2 linked regions of the Alligator mississippiensis genome follow. The protein of the gene in region 1 interacts with the protein of each later gene in a pairwise test. Links are inferred from orthologs where the notes say so. Each region holds a gene or a part of one and is shown in the gene's direction. Other genes may lie near its edges.

What was found. The genes of interacting proteins can lie anywhere in the genome.
Region 2: the proteins of FHL5 (region 1) and CREM interact in a two-hybrid assay, tested with the Homo sapiens proteins (2 studies listed by BioGRID). The link is inferred for Alligator mississippiensis from reciprocal best matches to the Homo sapiens genes FHL5 and CREM.

The regions. Positions count from the first base shown.
Region 1 is NC_081824.1:82,615,534-82,623,516, forward strand, and holds the start of FHL5 (four and a half LIM domains protein 5), read left to right. Parts: upstream 1-4,951; 5' UTR 4,952-5,147; intron 5,148-7,983. UniProt on the Homo sapiens protein: May be involved in the regulation of spermatogenesis. Stimulates CREM transcriptional activity in a phosphorylation-independent manner.
Region 2 is NC_081828.1:195,073,491-195,081,302, forward strand, and holds the start of CREM (cAMP-responsive element modulator), read left to right. Parts: upstream 1-4,538; 5' UTR 4,539-4,636; coding exon 4,637-4,680; intron 4,681-5,814; coding exon 5,815-5,938; intron 5,939-7,812.

The DNA.
Region 1 (7,983 bases):
TGTTTCAAGTGCAGAAGAACAGTCTTTAGTGTTCTTAGGTAAGTGTTAGGGTGGAGGGGGAAGAGATGGTCTATTCAAAGCTCACTATTTTACTCAATTTCTTTTTTTTCTACATATGATGGGCTTGTGGATGAGGAATAGGAAAGCAGTTTATTTTTAGGATACATATCGTAGAGACCAGAGATTCTCTACAGAAGCTAAGGCTACCTCTTCGTGTATCAGGGAAAATGAAAAACAAGCTGCACATCAATCTCAACATACTTAGCTTTAAATGCTAGGTGTCAGTCCCTCCCCACACCTTACTACTGTCAACACTCTTAGTATTTGCTAAGAGATGCAGTACATGTAACCCCATTCCTGTTCTCAACTAAAAGGTACTTTCTTGACCTTTAAGTATAAGAATTACATCCTTTCCAGCAGTCTGATTAGAAGCTGTATCTATGTGGCTTCTGCAACTAGACTTATTCCTGGCAGACTTGCTAACAAAGCACTGCTTCCCTAGGCAAAGCTGCAGCTTTCTTTTTAATACCTTCTTTTTTTTCCCCAGCTGCTTAGGGAATTTTCACTTGTATCAAGTTACCTGGGAATGGATTTTGGATTCATTACTGCTCCATAAATTCTCTAAGACTTTCCTAGAGAGATGCATTTTAAATATAGCTTTATTTAAATGATAGAAAGGGGTTGCAAGGCAGCAGTTCTGTTCCCAATCTCCACTCTTACCCCACTCACTCTGCACTCTCCACAAAATGTTTGAGGGGATTGTCTGCACTTTATAAAAAAAGAATGTGAATCAAGGAAGCAGAGGTGCACCAATACATGGGTCCGATATTGGATCGGCACTGTTATAGAGAAAATTGACTGCATCGGAAATTGGCCTGATGTGGCCAATAATGTGGCCAATAAATGCCCCATGCATGCGTGCAGCCATAGTGCAGCACATAGCACAGCTCAGCAGTATGGAGAGCTGTGTCCAGCTGGTAAGTCTGTTGTGGTGGAAGGGAAGGGGGGAAAGAAGAGACTTGGGGGTGGGGGTAGATCAATGCCTCCACAGTGAGGGAGGGAGTGAGGCTGGGGCTGCACAGCCGTGGCAGGGCTCAGGATGGAGCCATGGTTCATCGGGGGGCAGGGCAGCGCCTGCCACTGTGTGCACCCTGGTGGGGAGGCATGTGCCTCCCAGATCTAGGCAGAGCAGGCTGCAGCTGTGGACTGGGGCCAGAGCTGCTCTGGGGTCTTCCTGGCAGGGGCTGGGCCAGCCTGCACCCAGGGAAGGTCGGGGTGACTGGCAGCACTGGGAGGGGGCGTTGAGGCTGTGGTGAATGGGGTGGCTGCAGCCCCCCACCGCCCCCATAGCTGGCCTCCCAGCACTGCCACTGCTGCCTGCCCCAAGCGCATCCCAGCCCAGCCCCTTCCAGGAAGAGCCTGTATGTGCTGCTCCCAAGTTGTCGGCCTGTTGTCAGCCATCCTTTGGCATGGACTAACATCCCTGTGACTGACCTCATCACAGATTTGCTTTAGGCAATTCTTTCAATAATAACTTAGGAATTAATTTAAAGTACAATTGACCAGCCTCCGCTGGTATAGACTTGTGGCTATCGGTTCTTGCCATACTCTGAGTGGGAATTCTTAGTGCCTTGCTGTGCCCCCAGGTACCCACCCAGCCAGCCACCGCTCCTGGCCTCGATGCTGCTTGGGACTTCATGTTCTGCCTCATCACTAGGGCTTCAGCCCTCCTAGGGTCTACTCTCACCCCAATGGATCACTTCCGAGCTCTGACTAGCCTCAGGTCCAGTTGGGGCTTCCCTGCTAGGCCTGGCATTGCCTCCTGGCTTCCGTCCCCACTCTTCCCCACTGGGTACCTCTGGGCTCCAATGCTGCCCGTCCAGTTGGAGCTCTGAGCCCTTCTCCCTCCAGTTCTTCACCAGGGTGCACAGCTGGCTCAGCTCTCTGGGCAAGCCACATGTGTCTTCCCAGCCATCCTTCACCAGGGTGCACAGCTGGCTCAGCTTTTCTGGTGAGCCACGTGCAGCTGCCCAGCTGCTCTTTACTGGGGCGTGCCAATGGCTCTGCTCTCCATGCGAGGCTTCCTGGCTCTGCCTCATCTCCTCCAGCTCCTCCGATCTTCGCAGCCACTCTGCCCAGCTGCTCCCTGGCTCGCTGCTAGCCCCTCTCCAGGCTGACGTCCTGCTGCAGCTTCCCCTTCCCAGCAAGCCACGCTGAGGCTCTCTGCCTTGGCTCTTCCCTCTGTGGCATTTCCCCAACGCTTTCCCCGACGCTTCCTCTCCCAGCGTGCCCTCTCTCAGTCCTTTTCCAGCCCCTTCACTCCCCGGGCCCTTTTCGCACCCTGATCTTCAGGCTTAGGCTGATCTTGAACTGCCACCCTGGGGCCAGCCTCTCTCTCCCTGCAGTGAGAGAAGAGGATCGTGGAGAAAAACCCGGTCAGCAGTCTCCTGCCCCTTCCCAGATATCATTTCTTGCCTGCACAGCTATGACTTGCCACTTGAGGCTTGATGGGTGGGGGGGTATGGCTACGAGCCAGGATGCCTGGACTCTTATCCCTGTTCTGTGGGGGAGGGAGAGGGGCTGGAAGCAGTGCTTCCTGGGATGCTGGAGGACTGTAACTTGGTTGTTTGAATTCCATGGAGCAGACTAGGAGCTAACATGAGCTAGGTTGCATGGCCCAGAGATGCTTGGACTGCACTTAAAAATTGATGAGCTTTAAAGTGCAAATGCTCGCATTTTTAAATGCTGTTATTACGGTTTATGACTAAGGTGTAACGTCACCTTGATTAAAGCAAAGTCGTAGACAAAAACACTGGTCATCTGAAACTTCCGGATAATTAGAAGGTTTGACTGTAGAAAATAGACGTTTTTCTTTCTCATACTTAAGACTATTTTCCCCACCCAAGTATAATCTGAAAAACATTTCCAGGATCTAATTGGGTAAAGGTATCTAGTGGGGTTCTTATGGGGTCTGGTACTGTTCAATATCTTCATTTATGATTTGGAAGCTGGGGTTGAATGTACACTTAGTAAATATGCAGGTGACACCAAGCTGGGGAGAGTGAATTTTGCACTTTGGAAAATAGAATTAGGATTCAGAATGTCCTTGATTAATTGGAGAAATGGTCCAAAATTAATCAAATGAAATTCTATAAGTCTTGCACTTAAATCAGAACAATTAAATGTGCTAATAGGGACTGGGGAATGACTGCAGTACTGCAGAAAAGAACTACGGTGGTTATAGTGGACTGCAAGCTAAATATGAGCCAAAAGCTTGTTCTTTTTGCTAAAAAATCCAATAGCATACTGGGTTGTGTTAACAGGAATGTTACCCCACCCGCAAGTCAAGGGAAGAGACTCCTCCATTCTGTTCAGCACTGATTGAGTACTGTATCTAGTTCTGGGCACCACATTTGAAGAAAAATGTGAACAAACTGAAAAGGGTCCAGCAAACGTCATTAGAAGATCAGAAGTATTCAACAAAAATGATTACAAACTAGGAAACATGACTTACAAAAACAAAAATGTTGGAAAAATTGGAATTGTTTGCTAACTGTTAGTAAAAAGACTAATGGTTATTATACATGGTGAGAAACTTACTTCCTGTGGTATTTCATTCTATACATGGCAAGAACATAGTGTATGGGTATATCTACACATTGCCTTCCGGCACCGTAGTGATCACGCAGGGCTACACATGATCGCCAGCTACATCGCCGTAGTGACCTGCTCCCCCAGTATAGTGTGCTGCTACGGCAATGGAACAGCAAAATCTAACCATGTACTTCACGCATGGTAGCAATGTCACCATATGGCAACACATAGACATGCCCTTTGTGTGTTACTTTGATTGGTATTGGGTTTCTGACAAAGTGATTTGGATGATAATTTGCTGCATTTTTACTTGGCAATTTTTGGAGTATAATCTTAAGTATCTGGTAACATTTCTTTAGAAGTGACAACTAATCATCATCTAAGATGTACTAAATGCTTTTGTTTAAAGAAAGGTGAGATGCATGTATTTGTTGTGGCTGTCTCATAAAACAGGGCTCCTGCTCCGTGAAACATTAGCTACCAAACCTGATGTAGCCCTTCAATATATTGTTGTATTAGTGGTGCACAGAGGGCCTGATGATGTAAAGTTGAGTTGTTCAAGCCATAACTGAACCACTGTTTAATTTCACTCTGGTTTTAATGGATACAATATTCCTGGTGAATCCATACTGGTGGTTCCTGATCCTCTTGTTCTCCTCTAGGTTCCTCACAATAGATGAATTTTTCCTCCAGTGAAGTTCAACCAAGTCCCCACACAAAATGGGGACTTTTGCTGCCCAGTGTCTGCAGGAGACTTTCCATTCAGGTTGTTCACTTTATCAAATGCTGGGAAAATTGCCCTTTACACATTTTAAGTATGAGAGCATTGAGAGGACAGAAAGGAGCCATTAGTTCTTGTGACTGGAATGGTTGTTGTTGCCTCTGTCCAGTAACTTTTGAATACAAGATCCACATCAAACTGGAATAGTAATGCCAGTGGTTCTGTACTGAAAGACTGGAGTTTTTGTCTCATCCTGCTCTGCCCCTTCCTGACAAATCCAATTCAGAACACCCCAAAGATCGAGGAGGGGGTGTGGGGAGTTTTGAGTTTCACTTCCCAATCAAGTCCCATGGAAATACTGCTGAAAGTCAATATACAATGGTTAAAGAATGAATAGGTTCAGTTTCTTTTGCAATGGTCGTTTTTTTCGGTTTTGTTTTGTGGGGGGAAAAGAGATATGTGGGAGTGGGGGAAGCAGAGGTTTTGTCCAAGTGCTTTTTCTTTGAAAAAGTTCTCAAAACTCATTCTGAGACTTGCTCCTTTAAGAACATTGTACATGATATATATTTTTCTACAGTGTGTGAGCATACTATGTCAAAGAATTGTTTTGATTTCAGAGCTGAGGGAGCCAGCTATCTGCATGTCACAAGGTCTAAGGGAAACGAGCTGACCCTCAGCCTACTTCCACCGAGCCAAATTCTGATGGGATTCTTAAATAGCTTTGGCAAACAATTCTGTTTCTTTTGGACTTGATGAATGTTTCTGAAAACATCTTATTTTTCTTCCTTTATTTTGCTACACGGTCACCAACAGAAGCAGCTTGAAATCAAATGTAAGTATTGTATCTCCTTTCTCTTACCCCTGTTTTATTTGAGAACATTTTGAAATGCCAGGGTACCAGGTGACCAATGAACAGTTTATGAACAGCTAAGCAAGAATTTCTCTTTACACATGACTTCTAATTTCATCTTTGATTCTGAATAGACTGTTTTAATTAATTACAGTGACTTAACGAAGATAAAGGCATATGCTATATATATCAAAAAGTAGATTTTTCCTGAATTTTTCCTTTAAAATGCACCTTCTTCAAATTTCCTGCAGTTGTGTGAAAATTTTAACAGTTTTCTTAAGATATACCAAGAAGAGGCTCCAACATTTGTTTGAAAGTTTAATCATATCCATGCTATTAATTAGATTATTAATTACTATCGTTTTTTGTTTTTTTTAAAAGAGCAACTAGACCTTACCATCATCTCTTCAGGAAATTAACAAAATGTATGTTTGTTTTCTCATAGAATTGGGACAATGTGTGTTGGATATTTATCTACCATTGGGGGAGAGCTCTCAAATGTCCCTTTAAATTTCATACAGATTTAGAATTTAAAGGATTACAATTAGGTTGAAGAGATGTATCGGTGCATAAAAAAAAGTTTTGCATTTATGGATAAAAAGATGGAAATTATCCATAATTGAAGGACAATACAATATAAAATCGGTGCTACCTGATTTCATATAGGTAGTAGAGAGCACTATGTTTGGTGCTATGTTCATATAGGTAACAGAGAGTCATTTTTCCTTTTGAATACAAGACCAAAATCGTACTTAATAGTTTTATTAAACACAATTTATATTGTAATCACAAATATATTCTGAAGTATACTATTTTATAGCTTTCTCTATTTTCAACATATTTGTTATACACTCTGAAGCTCCAACTTCTACTAGTTGAAAGCGAGAAAATTGCAGGGCTTTTGAAGGAGCGACGGATCAGTTTTGACCCATGGTATCTCAAGGTTATTTGTAGGCAAAGTTTGAGGAATACTTTTGATAGATATCATAAATCCCTTAAGATGTCCTCTTGCCCACATGCCGGTAAAGCCAGCTTTCTTTACAATTTATTTTCTGCTGTTACGGTTTAATTTTAAAAGCTGAAGTCTGTGTAAATAGCAAAAGATGGGGTCAAATTTACTTTTTGTGAGTATTTCCCTGTCAGTTTTCTGAGAGGTGCCACATAGAGAAATTCTAAGAATTCAATCTCTTCCAGTCTAGTTATATATGCTTCATAGTTCTTGTGGAGCCCCCAACACTTTGGCTGTGATGGACATGGAAAACTAACTAACATGATGCCTCTTGTGGGCATGATGCCTCTTGACTCAGCACAGGGGTGCACAGAGTATAAAGTAAAGCACCGTTTACTTTGGGGGGGGGTTACGTCTGCAAGCAGGCTTTGTAAATAGGAATAATGAAATGCCACTTATGTTCCATTTTTTTATTTGCATTTATTAGGAAGTGGTCATCCAGATCTGTGGATGTGGCTTTGAAAATCTCAGTCCATTTATCTTATAGACTTTTTTCCATTAGGGAGGGTTTGATATAATAGGAATTAAATTAATAGGATTCTTCGGAAATTGAACAGCACTGCACAAAAGCTGCTTCAAAAATACAGGAAATCTAATGGAAAATGATAAAAAATCTCTCTCATAGCTCTTTCATGTATACAATTTTATAAAACTATAAGATGACTGACAAAGTAGTGGCTCGTCCCACCTCATTGTTTCCAGTGCTAAGGCTTTTCTTTGATTCCTGATAATCTGACTTCAGAAATTTCCCTCCATGTATTTCTTGGTCTGGCTTGGCTTTTGCAACTCTTTGCCCTGAAGCTGTTTTAATGTTTCCTGTGTCAGGTTCTTTTTTATTTCAGTTTCTTTTTGTTCCCCCATTATTCTAGTCATGGTACTTCCAGTAGTTCTCATGAAATATATATCAATGTCCTTCACAATCTTATCTCTTCTAGCCACCTACTCATCCTGTTAATTAATTTGTACACAAAACACTTTGGATAATTTATCATCAGTTAAAACGTAGTTGTACATGCATGCTAAATTGCAATGGAATTTGCTCCAGTTATGCCATCGGAAGAACTTGTCAGGCTAAGTAGACACTCTTCAGCTTTAAAGGTATTAATCTAAGCCATCCATAGCATCTGTCATGATAGATGATGCTTACAAAGCATTGGACACTTCTCAGCTTTTCTTAACGTAGACAATCCATTATCTTGCTGAATTATCTGCTATTTTGGGTGCATGTAAGTGTGCACCCAAGCAAGTTTCATATTATGCATAATGTTAGCCATATTTTAACATTAGCATATGGTTTAACACGGCTAATGTTAGCTTTGTTAAACCATAACTACTGGCTTATCAAGTTAATAAGTGGAACATTTTAGTGCACCAGCTCTTTACCAGATCATACTACCCAATGCAATAATAATTCAGTGATATCAGTAGTCATCCATACATTTTTAAACACCCAAGGGCTTTAAAATGATTGTAATGTTAAGTCTTAATTTGTAGTTACTACATTAAGTCTGGTGTATTTTCCTCCTTTTATCACAGACTTTCAAGCAGGATCTTGCCCTAGTCATTTCACTGTTTGCATGACCTATCTGTAAGATAAAGATTTTGCAGCATCCTCCTCTGTAAAATGAAAGTAATATTTGTCTCACAAGGAGATGATGAAGAGTAGTTTATTAATAATTTATAAAGTGCATTGGAATCAAAGGCTTGGAGCTGAAGCATGGAAGTACTAAGCATAGTAAGTCCTGTAAACAAGCCAGCTGTGATCCTTTAATTGGCCTGAAGATTATATTCAGCTCATTTTGGGTACTT
Region 2 (7,812 bases), on another chromosome or scaffold:
TAACGGGGACAGCCAGGATTTCATGTCACCCCTTGTCCTGTCCCATCAAGGGCAAGACGCTGAGCAATATGTTGGGCCCAGTGAAGTGAGTGGGCTATGCCACAAAGTATGCGGCAGAGCTGAGCCCTTCCTTCCCACCAAGTCTGTTTCTAGCCAAAGAGGTTACACAGGGAGTTACCGCAGATGAACTGACGTGTTCAGATCCCACCCTGCCTTAGTTCGCAATGACTTCCTGTAGAGGTGAGCCTTCAGAGAGGCCTGTACTAAAGTCCTGATCAAGTTTATTAATCCTCTGATTAAATTCCAGTTTCCTCACTACTAAGCTGCCTATGTAAAGAATTTCTCATGTTTTGTACTGTATCATGCTGTATTACTACTGCAATAAAAAACATGTCATAAAATGATTCGAGTATTTAATCAGATGCTTCAAGTCCTGGATTAGTTTGAATATTATATTTCACCAGCAAAACATTAAATACTTAGATACATATTCAGTTACTTATAGGGCTGCAAGATTGGATATGGTATGCAGTTTTTCCTTTTCAAAGCCACTTTCTTGCATTGGCTCTTGTTAAGGATTTGTTTAACAACTGAGTCTCAAGACAAAACAAAAAAGGATCTACTAGAGCTAAAGTTTGCACCTCCAGATTCTGATAACTTTTTGCCCGCTGTAGATCATATGATCACCTTTACCTTTTGGCTATTGCTGCTTCTCAGCTGGCTTTTGTCCAAAAAGTTCTGTTCTCTGTTTGATAAGATAAATCACATCTATTGGAATAAATATTCTGAGTGTGGGGTTTATTTTGGGGAGGAAAGGTAGAAGGAGGTGTGGCCTTGGCCCTCTCATGTGTCTGACATCTTTATTGAGCGTTTTAAAAATACTGCTCCTTACAGCATCCAGTACTAATAACACCTCTGGAATGCTGCCCTTTTTTCAGAACTGAGCAGTATGCCAGTGAGGTCCTTTGGGAGTTTAAATGTCCTAGTACTAGACTAGTGCCAAATGTCACTCCCGTAACCTGAAATACATTTTGAGAGCAGGAGGTTAAAGCAGTTGACACAGGAGAAATAAATCACTATGCAGCATATATTCCTAGTCTGCTTTCAAAGGATGAAAGCATTTCCTTAAAACATGGGTTCTCTGACAATTTGTACTACAAACTATCAGTTGATGATAGTTCAGTACATCTCTTGGGTGCAGTCAAATGGAATAGCTGATTCTGTTATAGAATTTAAGTGTTAATATAAAATGCAGCTTTTTGCAAGTGGCAAGGATTTTTTGGGGGGATTATCCTTTACTGGGCTAGTGGCATGGTTGAGGTAGACTTAGACAACAAGCTTTTGATTGCAGTGCATTCTTCAGCTTTTTCAAACTTTTGAATTAAAGATAATTCTGTCTTCTCTAACACTGTATTTGTTCAATTTTCCTTCTAAAAGAAAATAAAGCTGTTTCCTGTTTTAAATGATTTTCCCACTCAAACTGAACTAAGGTTTTGCTATACATATTCAGTTAAAGACATGACTGTAGGTCTTAATGCTTTTTCAAAAATCTTTGGATTTTTTTTAAAGAAAGGGTGTAATCGGGAAATTGAGAAATAATCTGTTGATACATTTTCTTTGATAATAGGTAGGTTTGCTTCTACCCAAGTCTGAATTTACATTGATGGAAGAAAACGCATTTCATATTGGTAGTCTCTGGATTGAACTGAATTAATCCCACCTGCCTTTTACATTTTTATGCATTGTTAATACTGCTATTCTCCTAATTTTAGACAAATTATGCTCCTAAATAATAAAATATTGATGGCTAACTTCATCACTTGCTTTTCAGTTGATTTGTTTTTTACATCAATTACCCATCTATCCACTTTGAGACCCAGAATATATATAACTATATCTTTGAAGAATTAAGTTATGTCTTGCAGAGGTATATTGTACTTGCCAGTGAGTTCTTACTGGTTTAGTACAGAGTATCTAAAAAATAAATATTTCAGTTCTCCCTCTTGTTCTAGTAATATTTTCTTAATTTTTTTATTTTGTATTCTCATGATTAAAGTTAAGCTATACATTTATACAACAACATAGACAAGAATATTCGTTGTTTGTAAATAACATAGATGCAAGAGTAAAATCAGTTAACTTGTAGTGATAAGTAGTTAGATTCCTACACTATGGAAGTGACTTGATATGTTCCTTGCTGGTCTTGCTAAATTCAAAAGCAAATAGTAAAATAAAGCTGCTTTGTAAAAAGAGTGACAATTGGCAGTCAATGAAGGATTAAATACTATCTGGGAAACTACAAAACTGGCTAGGGGATACTAGCTAACATTTTGTTTTTGGCTTTTTGATACTTAAGAAGAAATACTGTTCAATTAACTGATGGATGTACTGGTTACACAGAATACAAACCAAGTCAAAAACGGTGAAATAGCACCTGGAAATATATCAGTTTCTGAAGCATTAAAAGTAGCTTTCAGTAAATGAAATCTGTGGGACACATAGTGGGAATAGGAAAAATAGTAATTTTTTTAACTGGATATCTGTGGGAGATTATGTTGAATATAAAATATTCTTGTATATTTTTGGACCTGCTAGTGTACAATAATTAGAATCACATTTTTAATAGTATGTAGTGAATGTGTTGGCAGTGCATACAGATTACATTCACTCTGGTATTTAAGTTGTTTTGTTGTCTGTGGAGGCATTCTTTCAGAGGTAAATTCGTATATATTGTCCAGTCCCCATGCCTCTGTTTTAAGGGCATGCTAAGATTACTAGGGGAGGGAGGATTTCTTCCTAGAACGTTGCCTATTATCGCAGTGTTATTTGTGTAATATGTAGTGAGTCAACAAGATCGCCTTGCATATAGTGTAGAAAGATACAGTTAGATACAATGGGATTGTAGTTCAGGCTAATTTAAATGGAGCTTTGCTTGCCAGTGCTCTGTGAGCAGAATTGGCTTCCTGAGATTTTTCTGGTAGATGGTAAGAAGGCAGTTCTAACCCTGAAAGCTTATTATTGTTTAGAACCTAATTACCAAGAGACATTAATGTAGCTGAGATCAGCAGAGGGGACATACTGGCAGGGTATTCTTGTAAAACTAATCATGATGGTATCTGTGCAGGGAGGGGAAGTTACCTATAATTTTGCTGCCCAGAGATACCATTCGATTAGTTTTATCCCTTTTCACATTAGAATCAAGCATTGTAACGAGCGTGTTTGGAATATGAGAGACAAATCCCTTAACTGAAGTAGGGCATTCCAGAAAACACTGAGGATGCAGCAGGAAGTTCAGCTCTCCACTGTAACTGAGAGTGCTTTGCAGGAAGCGTTCTGAATTACAATGATCCCTTGGACCATTGGTTCCAAAGGGGAGGGGAATCTAGCTGTGGGTTGGGAGCCTGCAGCTGGTTTCCCCTAGCAGCGGCCCCCCTCTCGCCCATCCTGTCCCTGTATCAGAACGGGAGGGGCGGGGAGGGAGCTCGTTCTAGGGATTTCCTGGCCAGTGCTGGGTGGGGTGGGTGAATTGGACCAGGGTGCTCTAATACACCTGCCCCACCCTCCAGCAGGGGCCAAAAAACCCCCAAACCAAACTCACTCCTCCCTTTCCTTCCTTGCCCTCCCATTCTGAAAACATCTCAAGGCTGGCAGGCAGCACAGACAGAAGCTACAGAAGATGCTTTGTTTTGAAACATCTGCTTTGACCCCTCATGCAATGAGGGGTCAGATTTTCACCCAATCTGCCATTTTTGAAGCAGTCTGCAGCTATGCATTTGTGTTTGGTCACAGCTATAGACAACTTCATGTGGCCACATCAGGCTAAAATTGTCGCTTGTGTCTGTACTCTAAGATAATAGTAGTTAACTCATGAATGTGTCTCTAGATTTGTTTTTCAGAACCCTCAGAATCTTTGAAATAGAACAGTCCCCGCCTGTTTTGCATGATGATGTAAGACCCAAGAATAAACTTCAGAAAGTTCTGCTCACTTGCCAACAGTTGAACTTTACAGCTGGGTTTTGCCTGTTCAGGCCCCAGCTTTTACAAAAGAGCATAAATACATTGTAAGGAAATGGCAGTAACATCTAAGCCAGCGAATTTCAACCAGGGAGCCAGTGTACCCTGGGGTGCCTTGAGATTTTTTTCAGAGGTGTCATGAGATGCCATGCAATGTTAACCTCTGTGGTATGGAAACCTTGTTCAGAAGATAAACCCATAGATTTCAAGTAGGAATTTATAGTGTTAAACACTTTCTCACCTGTTGTGGTCTTGCTGAATTCTTTGCCACAGAACTTTTCTGTAGTCAAAAGTTGAGTGAAATCTAAGAGCTAACATTTTCTGAGGAGTGCCTTGAGTATAAAAAGGTTGAGAACCACCAAATGAAGCAGTTCTCCTGTCCTTATGGTTTTTTTCCTTTGCACTTGTGATAATATCTGAGGTGTGTGTTTGACAGCTTTCTCTGTCTCTTACTGCTTGAACCTGTCATAATGTCTAATACTGTTTATGATATCAGTTTGTTGCCATGGTGATGATTGTGACATCACAAATTCAACATCATAACTTCAGTGTGGTGTTCAGTAGGAGGGAGAGAGAGCTGAGGAGAACCAAGCTTTTGTTTTAAAACACACATACTTCCACTATGAGCAAGTGTGTCAAGAAATACCATGGAAAAATAACTGTAAGGTAATTATCAAGTTGATATGTTTGAAAGTTTCCTCCAAGTTCATAAGTGTTAATTGATGGTTGTGCAATTAGCTAAGCTCCTGTGTAACTTATCAATTGAGGTAAGCTCTATACCATCTAAAATGATGTCACAACACAACCCAGTGGTGATGCCAAATGCATATGGTTTGGTTTGAAATGGGATTAGTCCTGTTTTCAAGTATTAAATCGTTATATTTTGAATTGTGATAAGGGAAGATAGACAAAAACTATAAATAATTATTTTTTTGTCTAGAGGGGGGGAACGTTTGTGTTCAGTAGACAAGATCAGTAAAATTTTTGTGCAGTACCTGTCTGAACACTTCAGATATTTTGCTGGCTTAACTTCTGTATTTCTCCCCTATCTGTCTCTGATACCTAATTTTGCGAATAGATAAAAAATGAAGTCAGAAAAAAAAATCCACAAGTGTAAGCCAAAATCACTCTTTACATAAATTTGTCCATCTGTGTTTTTTGATTGAGGGACCTATAATATTTTTCAGTATTTAACCTAAAGGAACTCAGAAAAGATTAATTTTCTAATAATTTCCTCCTAGATAACCCTTCAAAGTCATCTGACCCTATACTGTATTGAATCTACTTATTATTCACAAGCAGCTATTTAGTTAGTCCTATAAAAGAAGCAAATAATAAAGAATTGTTAGGTGTTTCTACCTTGCCCATAAGGGCTTCTCAAAATACTCTCTTTGCTTTACACCATTAAGTTTCTTTAGCCCCAGCACCCCTCCTTGTTTCCTTGCCCGACACACAGTAAAGGCTTGATGTGGCTCTCCCATCAGAAATAGCATCCAGAAAGAATGGGTTGCCAGAAAATTATTCTTTCTTTTTCTGTACTGTATACTGGAGGTATTGACTATAGTACTTCCTTCCCTGGCCAAGGGACTGAACTTGAGTTCCAATTTATAGGCAGTGCATGGTGATATACTGTGATTCTATGAGACTCTTGGGTTGATCTTTTTGTCAGATACTTTCAAAAGATGAAATTGTGAACAAATGAGGGGGAATTAATAATATTCAAATAAGTATGTTCTTCAGTTCTGATTTCAGTTCCTTGCACTGCATTCTGTATGTATTTATTTTACTTATTTTTTTTAGACAAATGACCATGGAAATGGTTGAATCACAACAAGATGGAAGTGCTGCAGAGTCTGCAGCAGAGAGTGATGCTGTTCGCATGCAAAACCTGCCAGGCCAAAGTCAGATTCCTCCCATAGCTCAGGTAATCTGAAACACAGAAGGATAGGAGAAGCAAACAAAAATAAAGAACATTTAGAATTGTTACCTGTATTGAGATAAATATGACACTTTACTGCTGATCATCATATTCCCCATGTCATACATACATTTCATTTTCTTATAGGAGGGATTCAATTGAATCTCAAAACACATCTTCTGTATTAAGGATGGGACAGAGTAAGGGCCACAGATAATGCTGTACATTATTTTAAGTTCTTCACAAAAATAGCTCTTTGGGAATTTGGGGCTTCTCAGAGTGACACAAGAGTGGAAAGTTATAGGCATCATTTTACCCGTGTTTTTGCAATAGAGCCGTACACTGTTCATGTGATGACCTAAAGAGTTGAGACAGCCAGAAAAGTTAGAGGTAGGTAAGGTACGTGGTGTTCTCTTATGTCCTAGAGTTTGGAGATGTTTTGCAACCCAAAAGCTGGATGAAAATAAATTTTGATTTTTTTACCCCTAGTTTTCTTGCTCAAAATGAGTCGAATTCAACATGTAAGTACTGAGGTGTATATTTCTGTTTCTTCCCTAAGCACCTAAAAGCAGTTTTGGGATTTGTTTAAAGAGATATTTCAAAATATTTTGCTGATAAATAAGGGAGACAGATGATACGATAATGTTCTACATTTGTAATGATGATATATCGTCTTACATCTTAAAATATTCAAGCAAAAGTTATAGTAGAAAATGTTAAAAAGGAATTATACTTCATATTTCAGTATACTGATTGGTATTTATATCCTAATCCTTTAGCATAGTGTAGGACTCCTGAGCCATTTGATTCCGCACCTGTGGCTTTGTCTCAAGTTTTTTTACTCGGGCAGGGTTCGTGAGTTAGTTATTTTGCTCCAATATAATTTTTGTAGCATAATGCTAATGTTGAGAGCGTTATTCCTCTGCTAGTCTCTGGTTTCCCATGGTTTTTGCCAGCTTGCCTACAGACCTGTCCTCCTGTATTTATCAAGTGAATCTCTGTGATAGCGTGCACATATCAGATGTGTAGTAGCCAAAGAATTGATGTCTTAGTTGGTTCTACAGTCATGTGTACATGTTAGTAGTTCTGTCTGAAAGCTCTTCAGTTATCCTGGTCTTCTGTAATTAGTATCAGTGCCTGTTTTGATGTGTATTCGTGTGAATTAGGAACTGAACTGAGATGGCCTACTCAACATAGGTTTCCTTTATAAATATTAGTTGTTATTTACTTTTTGTTGTTACCAGGCGGTGAAAATAATTGTATTCATAGACATGAATCTGAAGTGTAGTTCGGTCATGGAACTTAAGAACTCTTATGCCCACCTCTTTGAAGCTAGTAGTTTCTTCAAGCCTCCTTTGTACTCAAGTGTATCAGGCCCATTCTTTGTGTCCAGTGGGCCCTTAGGTTGTTGTCTATATGACACCAAACCTGTTCATAGTTTCCTTCTACTTTATGGCATGTTAATATGATGCTGAGGGTCTGTCTTTCTCAGCTCAAAGTTTGTTCCAATGTGGCTTACATGTAGCAATTAATGAGGTAGCTGGTATTCAGACATCAGGACATATCATAACATGCTTTCCCATAGCCTTCATCTGAAAATTTTGCAAGATGCTGCTCAAAGCTTAGTCTCTTTTTAGTCTCTTCATTTTCCTCTTAACCCCTCCCCCACCTCTACTCTGTTGTGCCACTTAGTTTGGAGGAATGAGATTGCAGTCTCACTTAATACTCTCTAGACCTTTTACCCAGACTAGACTCATTCTTTTTAAAAGTTCTGTAGTCCTAGCTCACCTACAAGTCTTGCATCAGGTTTTGTAGGGGATGGCCCAACTTCTGAAAGTGGAAACCTCAACTTGAAAGAAATTGTTCTTAAGGGAGTGTTG